Canis lupus familiaris: one gene and its partner. The protein of the gene in region 1 purifies or fractionates together with the protein of each later gene. This does not show direct contact. Links are inferred from orthologs where the notes say so. Each region holds a gene or a part of one and is shown on either strand. Other genes may lie near its edges.

What was found.
Region 2: the proteins of HADHA (region 1) and GPC1 purify together in Homo sapiens (co-immunoprecipitation; 3 studies listed by BioGRID and IntAct, with this or other methods). This does not show direct contact. The link is inferred for Canis lupus familiaris from reciprocal best matches to the Homo sapiens genes HADHA and GPC1.

The regions. Positions count from the first base shown.
Region 1 is NC_049238.1:20,375,583-20,382,958, forward strand, and holds part of HADHA (trifunctional enzyme subunit alpha, mitochondrial), read right to left. Parts: intron 5,892-7,376; coding exon 5,805-5,891; intron 2,259-5,804; coding exon 2,118-2,258; intron 1,771-2,117; coding exon 1,702-1,770; intron 975-1,701; coding exon 779-974; intron 77-778; coding exon 1-76. UniProt on the Homo sapiens protein: Mitochondrial trifunctional enzyme catalyzes the last three of the four reactions of the mitochondrial beta-oxidation pathway.
Region 2 is NC_049246.1:50,781,402-50,789,312, reverse strand, and holds the start of GPC1 (glypican-1), read right to left. Parts: upstream 4,950-7,911; coding exon 4,784-4,949; intron 1-4,783. Other genes in the region: proline-rich protein HaeIII subfamily 1-like, read left to right, coding at 4,948-5,041, 5,754-5,949, 6,082-6,430. UniProt on the Homo sapiens protein: Cell surface proteoglycan that bears heparan sulfate. Binds, via the heparan sulfate side chains, alpha-4 (V) collagen and participates in Schwann cell myelination.

The DNA of each region.
Region 1 (7,376 bases):
CCATCCATGTCAGAATTCACATTCTTAGTCTTCACACCCTCCTGGTAGATGTAAAAGCCTTTCCCAGACTTGCGACCTAAAAGAAAAGGGAGAATTACCAAATCTCAGAGCCCAGACCTGCGAATTTTCTTCTCTGCTAGTCTGCTGTAACGCTCTAGTCTCTCAACCATATTTCTGAATTTGTCTATCTAGCTAACCCTAGACATTTAGTATTTGTCAAAACTTAGTGTTTTGTCAGCAGAGTTGGCAAAGAAGGAAAAAAGATCTTGTGTTTCTTGGAGCTTGGGAATCCATGTATGTGGATGGGAACGGCCACGTGGGTGAGCTTTAATGTCCAGATATGCAATACCAGGACCTAGTCTATGCCCTGGTCCTGGTGTGGATTTTGCTGCTACTTTGCCAAGAGAGAAAGCCACCTCTAGTGGGCCTCAATCGTATTTTGTTTAGAGGTATTACTTTTTCCACACAGGTGGCCAGGCAGCATGGTAAAGCCCGGGTACAGAGCTCGCTCCTGCAGGATCACAGGCGTACTCTAGGACTGGGGCCAAATGAAAATGCCTGCCTTGCAGACCTTGGTCAATTCCTCAGGCCAGAGTTCTGCCTTTGGTCTGTAAGCTATAGGCCCAGCCTAAGAGGTGGTCATGAAACCATTTTTAAAAAAATCCCCATAATAGTGGGCTCTGGTTTTAGGAAAAACTCCCCCAGGGCTTTCTGTAACTGTGTGTTTCAGGAAACTTTGTTCTCATGGTGTTAGTTATGTTTCTCTGAGGCTACTCACCCAGGAAGCCCCTGGACACCATCTCCTTCAGCAGTTCTATGTTTCCACCTTCAAACCGTTCCCCAAAGGCTTTGCCCAGATCTTCTGATACATGTTTTGCTACATCCACACCAACTTCATCGACCAGTGTGGCAGCACCCACAGGAAAGCCAAAGCTTGTGGTAAGGGAATCCAGCTTCTTAGGCTCAACTCCTTCCTGAATGGGATGGAAGCAGGGACCTTAGTAGGGTGGGGGTGGGGGGGTGGCACCCATTCCAGACCCTCCTACGAGGGCTCCCATGCTGATGATTAGAAACAGAACCAGTCCAACACTCACTTTTCTCCTGGGTACCACCTAGCCAGGCCCAGACTTGGGGCTGTTTCACTCAGGGAAAGCAAAGGAGGGAAAGTCTGAGCCTTCCCTAACCTAAGGCACTTAAAGGAATGAACAAATTCATTTAGAATGAACACTTTATTCGTTTCCTTGTTTGCAATTCTGACTCTCAGTAGTAATGAGATTCCATGGCAGACAAGGCTAAATTTCCCATAAGTAAGAGAGGAGACAGCACCACAGAGCAGTGTTGCAGACCCCTGGAGCCTGTGTCTGGTAAGTGCCCAGCGAGGAGGTACCACCCGTGGGGTGTGTGTGCAGCAGAAGCTGCTCCAGCACCGATCAGACCAAGTGGGCTTATCTGTTCTGGATGGCTCCTGCCTCTAAGGGGATGCAGCTAAAGAAGCAGAGCTAAAATTCTGCCCATTGGAGGGCAGCAAAGCTCATGATTTTCTACCACTATGTGGAAGGATTGGGTACAAAAGGGCTCCCTCAGAGAAGAGCCAGGACTTAGTGTATTAGAAGGAAGCCCATTCCTCATCCTGACAGTACCAGTCAGAGGACTGGTTTAAGGAGTGGAAGATGTCTCCAATGTTCCAAAAGCAGTACCAACCTGGAGGATTCTGAGGACTTCAGACATCATGGGTGCAAGGCACCTGGTGGTGTAGAAGCCAGGTCCATCCTGCCAAGGGAGATAATGTGGAAGAATCTGAAAGCAGGCTCTTTTCCCCACATGTCATTTCAAAATTCAAGGTGGTGTATCTTCCCAAACAGAACTGTTACAACTATAATGCACGGGAAGCCCCAACCAGGGCAGCATGGCTGGGAGAACCTGCGATGTCCCAGACCCTGACTTAGCAGTTCAGTCCATACCACTGTCCACACTGTAGACAACTAAGGGAAAAATCATACCAAAAGGTTGTTTGGTATGATTCTGAGGCAAACATAGGCAAAACAAGCCTGGAGGTACAAGGAATCTTAACAGAACTTTCCCCACATCTGTCACTCTGTTGTTATACAGCTCCTTACTTTCACCACAATGATGACCTTCCCCTGCTTGAGCCCGACAGCTACCGCTGAAGCAGTGGTGTCCTTAGACGTTTTATCTGTTGTAATAATCTCCAGTAGCTGCATCTTGTCCACAGGAGAGAAGTAGTGCATGCCAATCACCTGGCAAGGGGAGTACAAAGCCAACAGATGTAACAACGCTGAGGAGGGAACTGGATAGCACTCATTTTTGGCCAGGAAAGCAAGGGAGAGAAAGGTGGTCGTGATACAGGAATACTGCTTGATCCAGTTGAGTGGTTTGGCTCTGTGGTTTTTTGATAAAAAGTTCAGTATGTTCAGAGGGCTCACTGGAATCTTCCTCTTCCAACTGCTTCTAAGGTTTTTCACTGAGGGTGATAGATTCTACCAAGAATTAGTGCCAAAATCACAGCTCATGGCCAAATTAGATTTATCAGGGAAGAATGAATGAAAGTTCCACTCATATTAATGATACTGTTGGTTTAGAGGGGACACTTTTTTTTTTTTTTTTTAAGATTTTATTTATTCATAGAGACAGAGAGAGAGGGGCAGAGACACAGGCAGAGGGAGAAGCAGGCTCCATACAGGAAGCCCGATGTGGGACTTGATTCCAGGTCTCCAGGATCACACCCCAGGCTGCAGGCGGTGCTAAACCGCTGCGCCACCGGGGCTGCCCTAGGGCCATTTTTTTTTTGAGGACAGGGGAAACCGAGGTAGGCAGAAGAATCTGTCAATATGCTAGACTGTCAGAGATGTATTTGGATTTTACACAGATGGGTCTCACCAGCAGGATACTGGGTTTATTTTTTTTTAAAGATTTTATTTATTTATTCATGAGAGAGAGAGAGAGAGAGAGAGAGAGACAGAGAGCCAGAGACACAGGTAGAGGAAGAAGCAGGCTCCCTGCGAGGAGTCTGATGTGGGACTCGATCCTGGGACCCCGGGACCACGACCTGAGCAGAAGGCAGATGCTCAACTCCTGAGCCACCCAGGCACCCAGGATCCTGGGTTTAAATAACATTTATCGACATGCAGGGATGCCTAGGTGGCTCAGCTGGTTCAGCTTCCAATTTTTTTTTTTTAAGATTTTATTTATTTATTCATAGAGACACATAGAGAGAAGCAGAGACACAGGCAGAGGGAGAAGCAGGCTCCATGCAGGGAGCCTGACGCGGGACTCGATCCCAGGTCTCCAGGATCAGACCCCGGGCTGCAGGCGGCGCTAAACCGCTGCGCCACCGGGGCTGCCCTCAGCTTCCAATTCTTGATTTTAGTCTCGGGGTTGTAAGATTGAGCACTGTGTCAAGCTCTACGCTCAAGGGGAGTCTGCTTGGGATTCTCTCTCTCTCTCTGCCTCTCCCCACCAAGTCCCACCTCATAGCTCTCTTTCTAATAAATGTTTGTTTGTTTTTTTAAGATTTATCAACATTCAAATGTGCCTGAAGATTCATTACACTAATGAAGTAACTTGACCAGCAGCATTAGCACTGCCTGGGAAATTTAGAACTACAGATGCTCAGGCCCACCCCAGACCCAGATCTACTGAATGAGAGACAGGGCAGGGCCCAGATCTGTGTTTAAGAAGCCTTCCAGGTGATTCTAATACATGCTGAAGTTCAGAACCTCCTCCTCAGGCTAACAGTCCTCCCAAGTGAATTGCCATGGAAGAAAACAATTTAATCATAAAACTTAGAGTTTTGCTCTGTCTACCCTCATTTTAGCTGTGAGATATAATTAACGATATCTACCATTTGCTGATTACTGGCTATCCACTGTTCTTTAATACAATTGCCATTAATTCCCTACATTTAATCCATCACTCTGTGAACTAGTCAGTCCTACCTAGATGAGGAAAAAAGACATCAGGAGGTTAAAACTAGTAGCTCAGGGCCAGTCAGTGGATGGCAATGGGATTCCATCACAGTTAGCCTGTCTCCAGAGCCTGCCTACTCTCCATTATGTAACACATAGGTCACTTAAATGTTTCATAAACTTACCAATCCAAAAGTTGCTTCTAAATCCTAAACGTTCTTTAATTTATGTCTAAATGATTTTTTAAAAAACCAAACCTGTTTCAGACTCAGTACTTCTAAGCAAAAGGGATTAGCTTTTATGATATATAACTTATACACAATAAGTGTATAAGTGTTCATTTCAATGAGTTTTGTATATACACCCATATAATCACTGCCTCAAGCAAAATCCATTTTTCATCACTCAAGAAAGCTCTGCCAGAGGTGACCAACTTGTTCTGGATAAGCAGATGGCTGATCACCCAACCTGTGACCCTTTGCCCTTAATTTTATATGAGATAGGGGAAGCAGATGACTTATGGAAGCTATCCAAGATACCTGGAGGCCAGGACTGCAAAGCATGATACTTTTCCCACTGGAAAATGAGAAGTTAGCATCAAAGGTTCTCCTTTACTGACTTAAAATGCTGCAGAGGTGCTTTGAGTGATGTGACATGGCCAGATTGTCATCTCCCTTTATACTGTTGTTGTATCTTCCCTTAGTGTAACATTATCAGCTGCCACTTCTCCTTATGACCTTTTCCTGCCATCCCTGCACTTGCCTGTCAGGCCCCACATCACTTCCAATCTGCTATGTGTGAGGAAACAAGATTACCTTGTATTACCAAACTATTAGAATAGGAATAAACAGACTTTTGTGTTTTCAGTACAAGGACTCTGTATTAACAATTTTAGCTGCTTACAGGTCTCTTATATTTCCTGCCTACTTTTGGCTGGCTCTGGTTACCTAAGGCTAATTGCTATCCTCCAGAGACGTGAGGTATTTCATTTCTCCTTGAGTGCCTTCACTTTCCCTAGGTTGCTCTAGTCCAGCAGACGCCCAAAGAGAAATGTCTAAGCATCATTCCAAATACTTAAAGTGCTTCTACCTTTGCATGTCCTGGGTAGAAATTCTAAGTGAACCCATAGGTGGACACACCTCACCACACCTCCTGATCTTCTTCTTCTTCTTCTTTTTTTTTTAAGATTTTCTTTATTTATTTATGAGAAACACAAAAAGAGACAGGCAGAGACACAGGCAGAGGGAGAAGCAGGCTCCATGCAGGGAACCCAATGCGGTACTTGATCCCGGAATTCCGGGATCACAACCTGAGCTGAAGGCAGACACTCAACCACTGAGTCACCCAGGCATCCCACCTCCTGATCTTCTATTCTTGGATGTGGGATTGGAACCAAACATGTCTTAGATCATTAGCAGTGTCTACTCTGTAGCTGAAGTGATATTCTGGAGTATCCCTTTTTATTTTAGGGTCTATCTTTATTATTTTTTAATTTAAAAAAATTTTTAGAGTACTCTCTTCACCCAATATGGGACACAAATTCACAACCCTGAGATCAAGAGTCATATGCTACCAACTCGGCCAGCCAGGTGCTCCTTGGACCTATCTTTAAATACCTAATTGTAATAAAGGTACGCTTTATAGTCCGAACCTTGGAATGCAGATCACCTAGAAAAGCTTATTTTGGTTATAGTTCATTTCACTTATCCCAGCATCTTGAATGGTCATGGTATTAGTTTCTCTATGCCCAGTTTTGGAGAAAACCTCATCACTCCCTTCACTTCACAATCCACACAGGCCCTTCTCATGCTCTAAACCTTCCTCTGAGAGCCTGTAATAGGAAAACAGTTCAGGGTCTTTCCTCTGTTCAGAATTTACCTTCTCAGGTCTTTTGCTGGCAGCAGCAATTTCATTGATTGGGAGAGCAGATGTGTTACTGGCAAAGACACAGTGACCTGGAATCACCTGCAGGGGAAAAGCATTTAAGAATGTCACATAAACCCGGGAGATGACTGGAGTCTGAAGCAAAGCTAAAGTATGAGACCTGGGCCTGGCCCTGCTCTCCCCACAGCCACTCAGACAGGAGACACTATTCACCTGATATTTATAACCACCCAGGGCTTCTGTGTGTGACCTTGTTCTCTTTCCCATTCAGCCTCCTTCCATCTCTGGCTCAGCATCCTTCCTAACCCAGAGACTACATCTCAGCAGTTAGGTAAATAAGACACTTCAGATAAACACTGAAGAGATCACCTTGAGTTAAATCTCATTCGTTTCAAGATCCAGCCTATGTGCCAATCCCTCTTCTTGCTCAGATCTGCCCTTGAATCCAGAAGTTCATGATACCCGCACCCTTTACTTTTCTAAGAACAAGTCATAACATGCATGCCTAGCTCATTTTATACAGGGTACTGTTAGAAAACTGGACACCACTGTAATTAATCTACGGCACATGAATACTATTAACTGTTAGCTTTATCACCCTGGAGAAAAACTCTAACATAGACTGTCTCAGCATTCTGTTCATGATCCCAAGTTATTAAATTTTTATTCAGCTGCATGCATAAAACACACGGAAGGCACACCTGTCAAATTTGTGCAAACCGGGACAGGCAAAATCCTAACATCAGAGACAGGAATCAAGGTTCAAAATACATGCAACACACTAAAGAGCTGAGCGTAAAATAACATCAATTATAAGGAAGATAAAGGTCAAATACCATATCAATATTTTTTTATAAAGAAAAAAGGGAAAAACCTAGAGAGGCACCTGTTGGACAAAACCTGGCTCAGCAATCAGCTTGTGATCAGGCCCCCATGATTTTAATCAGAAGTGTGAAGTCGAAAGCAGAGCGTGACCGCAAGGAAGAGTCTCAAGTGGCATGTCTGAGAGGTATGGCATCTTATTCTGGTGGGGAAAGTCTCCATGAAGAGTGGACCAATATCTCCAAAGAGAGCAGGCAACAGTCCTCCCTTCCTGGTTCACACGTGGCTCTCCCCCGCTCCAGAGGTATTGTCTACTTCCTCCCTCTTGAATCTTGTGACTTGCTTTTACCAATGGAAAGCAGGAGTGACACTCTGAAGCTCTGGGCCAGGCCTTAAAAAGCCCCATTTTCTGCCCTCTTGGAAGCCAGAGGCAATGCTGTAAAGGTTTGCTCAGAGTCTGCACTCCTCTTGATCTGATGATCCCTCTTTCTCTTTCCCTTGATCACTAGTTTCCCAACTGCAACCCCAATTTTCCAGAAGCAAATACCAACACCTAGTCAAGTGGTAAAGCTCCTCTCTCCATGCTGCCTGTGTCAGCTTCTGCTGCTCCTTGGAATCTGCCTGCCACTGGCTCAGCAGTGCCCTCAAAGCCCTGGGATACCACTTATGTATCTGTGCTGAAATGCCACTTAGCACAGATGGAATACAAATCCACTCAGCTCTCTCTCAGCTGAATCTACATTA
Region 2 (7,911 bases), on another chromosome or scaffold:
CCCCCACGGGATTCCTGCGGGGAGAGCCCGCGTGCGCCCCACCGCAGCCTCCCCAGCACCACAGCCCAGGCCCTGCGCCCCCTTGCAGAGGACACAGGGGAGGCCGTGCCCGCCCTGGCTCACACCTGCCTGCCGCGGCTTCCCACCTGGGAAGGTGGTGGGGTACGGCCTGGGGCGGGAGGAAGCACCCCCCGCCCCCGCCCCCCGGAGACTTCCGGCAGCTCGGGGCCCCTGCCCAGGCCTGTTCACAAACTCGGCAGGAAAGGCCGCCAGCCACCGCGGCAGCCAGGAGCGGCTTCTAGGGTGGGTGGCCTCGGGCTGCAGCCCTCCCGCCCTCAGCCTGGCTCTTCTCCCAAACGTGGGCACGGCCTGACCCCCCGGCTGTGCCGACGGCTGGGCGTGAGCCGGGGGGCGCCCGGCGAGGGGGGCTGGACGGGGCCGCGGGGTCCGGTGAAATCACGCAGCGCCGAGCCGGGCCCGGGAGAGGAGCCCGTCCTCCTGATGCCTGGGCATGTCCAGGCCCGGGGAAGGCGGAGGCTCGCCCCACGGCCCTCCCGGCTCGCGGCGGCCTGGGGGAGTCCCTCTCCTGGCTGCAGCCAGGCTCACACCCGTGCCTGTGGGCGTGGATGTCCTTGCACGAGCGTGGGCACCCACACCGCAACCGTGCTCTGCTGCTGGCTCTGAAGCCCAGCCCGCTGCCCGGCCCGTGTGTCCCAGGCCCCTCCCCGGAGGCCCGTGTGACCCCGAAGGCCTGTCAACCTCCGGCGTCCGCGGTTCCTTAACTGGCGCCAGCCCGGAGCCCGATGGACGTCCCCCGCCACCCAGGCTCACTCGCCCCTGATTTGTCCGTGGGTCCCGGGGGACGGGGCCGGCGTGGCGCTGCCGCGGACCTGCTGGCCAGCGACGCACAGCCGGGCCGTCCCCGTACGCCCGGGGCCACCTGACCCAGGCCCCGAGGCCCGAGGAGCTGGCCTCCACCGACGGGAATCGGGACGAGGCGGAGGACGAGGCCCAGCTACCGGAGGGCTGATTCACCCAGAGCGCAGCCCCGATGGAGGCCGGGAGGCCGGATCAGAGGCCGCGGGGGGTGCCCGTCAGCACGTGTTCCGAGCGGGGCGCAGAGACGGAGCCGGGCCCCGAGAGGCAGCAGGAGGAGGCAGCGGGGGTCTCCCAGGGCCTGGGCCTCCAGGACACTCACGGCCCAGGACTGGGCGGCGGCGAACGGCACAGGCTTTGGGGTCAACAGGGGGCTACATGGCGTCCCGGGGCGTCCTCCTCGTCAGTCAGGTCCACGAAGACCTTCTCTCGTCTGACCCCACAGGCAGATGCGCGGTGAGTGTGGGTCAGAACGAGGCCTGTCAAGAGCCGGACGCCACTGACCGACGGGTCTGCACGGCCTGCAAAGACCTCAGGGCAGGGCCAAGGGGGGTTACCCGTGGGGCCAGCTGCACAGTGCGTGGGGCCAGCGCCCCTCCTGGGGACCTTCGGGGGCTTGTGACTAGTCCCCTTGGGGCGTGCGAGGAAGCAGAGGCACAGAGAGGCCAAGTGCGGCGGGCGGCTTGCACAGCAGGACTGTCACGTGAACCAAGGCCCAGGGAGGAGGCCCCTCGTCTCGCAGGAGCGTGGCAACGTGTCCAGCAAGGTGCTCAGACCGTTGCATCATGCAGGTGGCCCCGTCAAATCCTGGCTCCCCTGGGCTTCCCCCCGCCTCAAAGCCGGGGATGATGAAACCACAGGTCCTCGAGCGGCGGGGGGACAGAGCAGCGGTGCGGTTGGGGGCCGAGGACCGCCTGGGGACCCGAGCCGGGCACACGGGGTGCTTCCTGCTTCTGAACAGGACGGGGTACACAGAACTTCGTGGTCTGGGACCAGGCCACGTGCCTGGTGGCTTGTGAGAGCCCCGCAGACCACAGCCCCAGACAGAGTCCAGGTGGGTTCCTTTGGGTGAAGCCAGGATGGCCCTTTCTGGGACCCTCCCCCAGACCCCACCCCACCTGAGGTCAGAGCCAGCGCACCCAGAGGTGGTCCCTGCTGTGGGGTCCACGGGACCCTGGGACCCACTCTTGCTGGCAGGTAGGCCTCAGCCCCAGGGCAGAAGGGCAGCCAAGCGGTTCTCACGGCACCAAGCCCCGGGGCTGGACCTCTAGACCCCTCCTCTGTCCAGGCCTTCCTCCTCCCCCCATGCTGACCCTGCGTGGCCCGGCAGAGCGTGGTACCTGCGTGGGTCCCCAGCTGCTCACTGAGACCCTCCCTGGCGCCGGTCACTGCACCAGCCCCCGTGGCTACAGCAGAGAAGCCTGCGGCCAGGGGTGGTCCCCGTCCCCAGCGCCCCCGCGGAGGGTCAGAGCCGTATGAGGCCGGTCACTGAGTGTCGGGAGGCCGGGCTGGGGCTGAGGAGGCGTCTGGAAACCAGGAGCAAGCTGGCGGGCGGGGTGCCAGTGGGCGTGTGATTCAGCAGGGGCCCTGCGCTTGCCCGGCGCCTGGCACAGGGACCCCGGTGACCCTCACTTTCTCTGAAGCACGGGCGCCCGAGGGAGGGAGCCCCCCGGCCTTTGGCTGCTGCCCCCCAGGCCTGCTTGCTGCTCCCTCACCTGTACAACGACAGCCGTCAGCACCAAGTGCCAGGCACGGCCGTCCAAGGAAACCACACGGGCTCTCGGACGGGAGCCCCAGGCACCCTGACGCCCCACTCACACGCCCACCATTGCTTCTGGTCCCCGGACGGACACAGGCTGTAAGCACCGCCCGCAGAGCCAACGCCACCTCCTCGCCTCCCGGCGGCTCCTCGGGGCCTGGGCCAGCTGAGTCAGCGGGGGTTGGCACCAGGGGGGTGACCCCAGGCCCCACGCGGGAGGAGTTGGGGGGGCAGGCCCCTGGGAGAGGAGACCCAGGCGGGGCTCCCCGGAGGCGCGTGCCGCACGGGGCCAGCAGAGGGCGCCTGGCCCACGGACGCGGGGCCCAGTTGCAACAGGAGGGGACTCGGGCTTGCTGCTGCCCCGCGAGGTCACCCTGTATCCTCTGCTCCACGTGGCGCTGGCACTCATCTCGGCGCCTGGGCCCCGGGGGGGCTCTGGAGCTCCAGGCCCACGGGGGCTCTGGCCACAGGAGTCGGGGAGAGTAGCTCCTGGGATGGAGGAGCCCTGGGGCTCGGGGAGAGGGGGCGCAGGCAGGGAGGGCGGTAGCCCTGCGGGGGGCACAGTCCCTGGCCTTCCAGGCCCCGAGGAGGGCGGCAGCCGAGGCCCCGGCCAGTACGATGCTGGGACAGCTGCTGGGTGACCTACTCCCCCAGCTGCACACGCAGCACCCCATCTCTACCCGTCACACTCAGACCACCATGCACTCTGACGGGGCCCCTAATCCACTGCACCCCACCCCAATGTGGACGAGACCCAGCTCCCAGCTCAGCCTCCCCCCGCGCCCTGTTTGCCCCACTCTCTCCCAGCCCTTGGCAGCTGCCCAGACGCTGCCACCCTGCTGCCACCCTGCTCTCGGCCTAGCCAGGACAGAGGCCTGTGGACTCGAGTAAGTTCAGGATGGTCGGTAAAGACCCAGCGGCCAAGTGGGAGTGGATACAAGAAGGAGACGCACGGGGGAAGGCTTCCACCCGAGATCCGGGGCTGGGCGGGGGGCAGCTGGGGCAGGGCCCAGCGAGAAGGCCAGGGACACCCAGGAGAAAGTTCCTGTGCCCGTGTGGGAGCGGAGCACACACCAAGCTGTGCACAAGGCCCCGTGCTGGCCCCGGCGCCCAGCATGCCCACCAGGCTGTCCCGGCAGAGAGGCGGTCCTACACAGGAACTCTCAGCGGAGCGAGACACAGAAGGGCTGCTTGGGGTCCTCCGGAGGGGGCCTCTCCTGAACCCCGGGGCGGGGGGCGGGTAGTTCAAAGATCTCTCAAGGCAGCCCTCAGGGTGCCCCACCTTCCGGAGCCTGGGCCAGGACCAGGCTGGCTTCCTCCCCCTCCCCAGCAAGGCGTGGTCAGGGACCCCACGGGGTCTGTAGCGGGGTCACCCCCGGCCCCCCTGCACCCCCTGCCCCCGGCCGCGGGTCTCCATCCCAGCAGAGCAGAGCAGAGCCCTTCCCTGCAGCTTCCCCCTACTTGGGGAGCCACCTCTCCCTGGAGGAATCTGGCTCTGCTCTTGTCCACCGCGCCCGGGCACCCGCGCCTTCCCACTGCGAGGAGCCCGGGGGTCTGGGTGGTCCGTGGGACGCTGCATCCACCCCCCACCCGCACACCCGCACACAGGCTGGCGGCAAAGCTCCTCCGAGGCCTGCAGGGAGGGGGCGGGCGGGCCCGCGGGCAGCTGCAGGGCTGAGGATGCCTGGGAGGGTCGACGCTCGTACAAAGAAAAGACGCGGCCCCTGGGCGGGATCCAAGGCGCGACCACCTGCAGCTCGACTCCCCGCCGGAGGCAGCGCGAGGGCCAGGCCGGCGGCGCGCACAAGTTCCGCGGGCAGGAGCGCGGGGCCGAGGTCGCGGCGCCCCCGCCCCCGCGCGCAGCTCGCGCCGCACCCCGCGGGGGCCCCGCGCCGCCCAGGACCCGGGGCGGGGGGGGGGCCCGGCTGCGCGCACGCGGGCTGCCGTCGCCGGGGCCCCGCGGGAAGCCTCGGGCCGGGCCGGGGCGGCTCCCCGAGAGGCCCGAGGGCCGCCTGGGGGGGTCGGGGGCGCCGCCTCCCTCCGGGTCCCCGCGGGGGCGGGGGCGGGGGGGCGCGGGGCGCGGGGGCGCGGGGTGCAGGGCGCGGGGCGCGGGGTCCAGGGCGCAGGGGGCGCCGCGCCCTCACTCACCCGAGATCTCCGCCTGGGGCACGTCGCTCAGGCTGAAGCCCTTGGCGCCGTAGACCTGGCGGACTTCGCTGCAGCTGCGGCCCTTGCTGGCGGGGTCCCCGCGGGCGCAGGCGGCCAGCGCGGCGGCCGCGCACAGCAGCCACCAGCCTCGGGCCCGCGGCTCCATGGCGGGGCCGCCCGCCCGCCCGCCCGCCCGCGCGCCGCCCTCGGATCCCGCCCGGGGCCGCGCAGCCCCCGCCCGCGAAGGGCAGAGCCAAGGTCCCGGCGCGGCCCGCGGCCCAGGAGCCGCCACAACAAAAGCCGGCGGCGGCGCGGGGCGCGGGGCGCGGGGCGCGGGGCGCGGGGCGCGGGGCGCGGGGCGCGAGGTCCGGCCGCTCGGTCGGCGGCACACGGCGCGGCGGGGCGAGCGCGCAGTCCCGGCTCGGCGCCTCCCCTGCCGGGGCCCGGCCCCTCGCGGCCGGAGGGGGCGGGGCGGGGCGCGCAGGGGCGGGGCGGGGCGGGGCGGGGCGGGGCGGGGCGCGCAGGGGCGGGGCGCGGCGGGCGAGCTGCAGCCGGGCCGGGCCGCCCGGGGAGGGGGGGGGCGGGACTGCGCGGAGGGGGCGGCGCGGGCCGGGCCGGGGTCCCCGGGGACGCGCCCCCCCACGCCCGGGGCCCGGGGCGGCGGCTGCACCTGAGGGGGCGGGGCGGGGGCGGGGAGCCGAGGCAGGGCTTCCCCCGCCGGACGTGACGTCACGCGCGCCGCGCGCCTATCAGGGGCTCCCCCGGCCCGGCCCCGCCCCCGGCCCCGCCCCGGCCCCGCCCCGGCCCCGCCCCCGGCCCCGCCCCCGGCCTCCCCGCACCCTGGCAGCGCGCCCCGCCCGCCGCTCCCGCAGCGCCGCCTCCCCCGCGCCCCCTCCCCGCGCCCTGGGTGCGCCCCGGGCGCCCCTCCCGCGGCTCCGGCTCGCACCTGACGCTCACTCTGACGCCGCAGCCGAGCGGGGACCCCGGGCCCCACCTTTCCCGCCCGGGACGAGGCCCCGACCACTTGGTGGTTGCCGCCGGCCAGCGGGCCCGGGTCCCCTCCGCGGGGAGACACAAGTGCGACCGACGTGGGCCGTGTCTGCCCGCTCGGGTCGCGGGGCGGGGCGGGCCGCCCTGGGAGGGGATGAGGCCGGGGCCAGCGACAGGTCAGGGAGCGGGGGAGGCCGGGTGCAGGCCCGAGGGCCGGGGGCCCCCGCGGAGGCAGGGGGCAGTGGGGACGCGGTCGGGGCGGGGGTGAGGAGCTGAGGCCGCGTCTTCTCTGCTCCTCTCCTCCCCAGCCTTCCCCAGCCGTGCACCCCCGCCCTGGCCTCCTGCCGCCCCCCCTGCCATGTGGGCAAAGGCCGCAGAGACCGCCAGGCCGCCAGGCCAGATGCCTCGCTGGCACAAATGGAGCAACGCAATAAGTGGGCACCCCCGGTGGAGGACCCAGAGATGCCCGCTGCGTGGCACGGGGCACCCGGCCTCACGTCCTGCCAGGAGCAGCCCCCCACCCCGGTGCTCCCCACACACATCAGCGGTGTGGGCCGCGTGCAGGGAGGGGGCTCCGGCCCTCCGCAGCCCCAGGAGGGGCCTGGGGTCTCCTGCCTGCCTCCCGCGCAGGCTGCTCCCTTCACCCAGAGACACTGAGTCATTGTATGGAGGCTGTGGGGACCCAACCCAGGGTACAGACCTCCTGCCCTCCCCACGCACCTGCTGCCTCATCGTGTCAGTGACTCACAGACCCCTGTAGAGCGCGTGCGTGTGCGAGCTTACACACACACACACACACACACACACGCGCACACGGGCCTGCTCCTTCTTGCCTAGGCCTGGCTCAGCCACCTGGACACCTCCCCCCTCCACACCACGTGCCTGCCTGGCTCGGGCCACCCGGGGAGGGGTAGGAACACTGGCCCAGGCCCTGTCCAGGGGCTCACCCCCGGCCACGTGCCTCCCTGTCCCGCGGGGGCCTGGACTGGGGCTTAACCCGCCCGAGGCGCTCTCTGTCCTGTTGTTATGGTGATCGCTGTTGCCACCGCTTAATCCAGGGAGCCTGGGAAATTCCTCAGGGCGGGGTCGGTGTCCAGCGCATTTCCGGGTCTTCAGACAGCAGCGTGGCCAGAGTGTCCACGGCCACGCTTACATGGCAGGTTGCCAGGACGGCCCCGCTGGGGCACCTCCTCGGTGTAGCGGGGCTCCATCCCCCGGAGAGATCCTCTCACTACCTGCAAGGTCTCCTCCGAGTCACTACGGTGTGAGTCGGGGGCAAGGAGAGGAGCTGTGACCAGAGCCTCTCCGCGGGGCTGGTACATGGCCAGGGAGCGGGGGGCAGCCAGTGGGGGGATCCCCCAGCTCTGATGGGGCTGCACCTGGCAAAGAGCCTTGTTGACAAGCAGCAAGGAGGCCAAGTGCAGGGGGCAGCTGGCGAGACAGTGGCAGACTCGTGGCCGCTAGGCGGTCACTGCTGCAGGTGGCTCTGCTGAAGGCGGCCAGGTGTGGGGACCCCGCCGCCGGCACACGGGGAGGAAGTGTTGGGTGCAATGCAGAATCCGTGTCCATCCTTTTTGTCCGGTTGCCTGGCCCACAGAGCCTTCCTTGCTCCCCCACCCGAGGGGCGTTCTGCTTTACAGACATGAGCGGTGGTCCCCGAGCAGCTGCCCCAGGTGCCGCAGAGCCCTCCTGCTCCTGGCACCCCGACTCTGTCGGCGCCCTGCCTGCCCCCGCGGGCCTGGACGTTCAGGTTTCGTGCCCGTCTAGGATGGCCCTGGATGAGGGGTGCCTGGTGGCCAGGCCTGGACACAGTGTGGCCCAAGCGGCTGGGGCATCGGGAGCCGGGCTGGGTCACACTGGGGAGGTTAGTTCCCCAACCCCCCATGCTGTCACCCACGACCTCCATCAGCTGCGCAGGAGCAGCTGTGGGAGTGGGGTGGGTTCACCGTGGGGAGCTCTGGGGTGGGATGGGACCACCCCTGCCCGCTTTGGGGTGCCGGCCTGTCCACTGTGCGGACACAAACATATGACAGCTCAGACACAAGGCACGACGGAGCCGGTTTGCACGCTCATAGGAAAGGGAAATTCTCTGGTCCCTGAGCAAGCGGCGTGTGACACACACTGGACTTGCCCTTCTG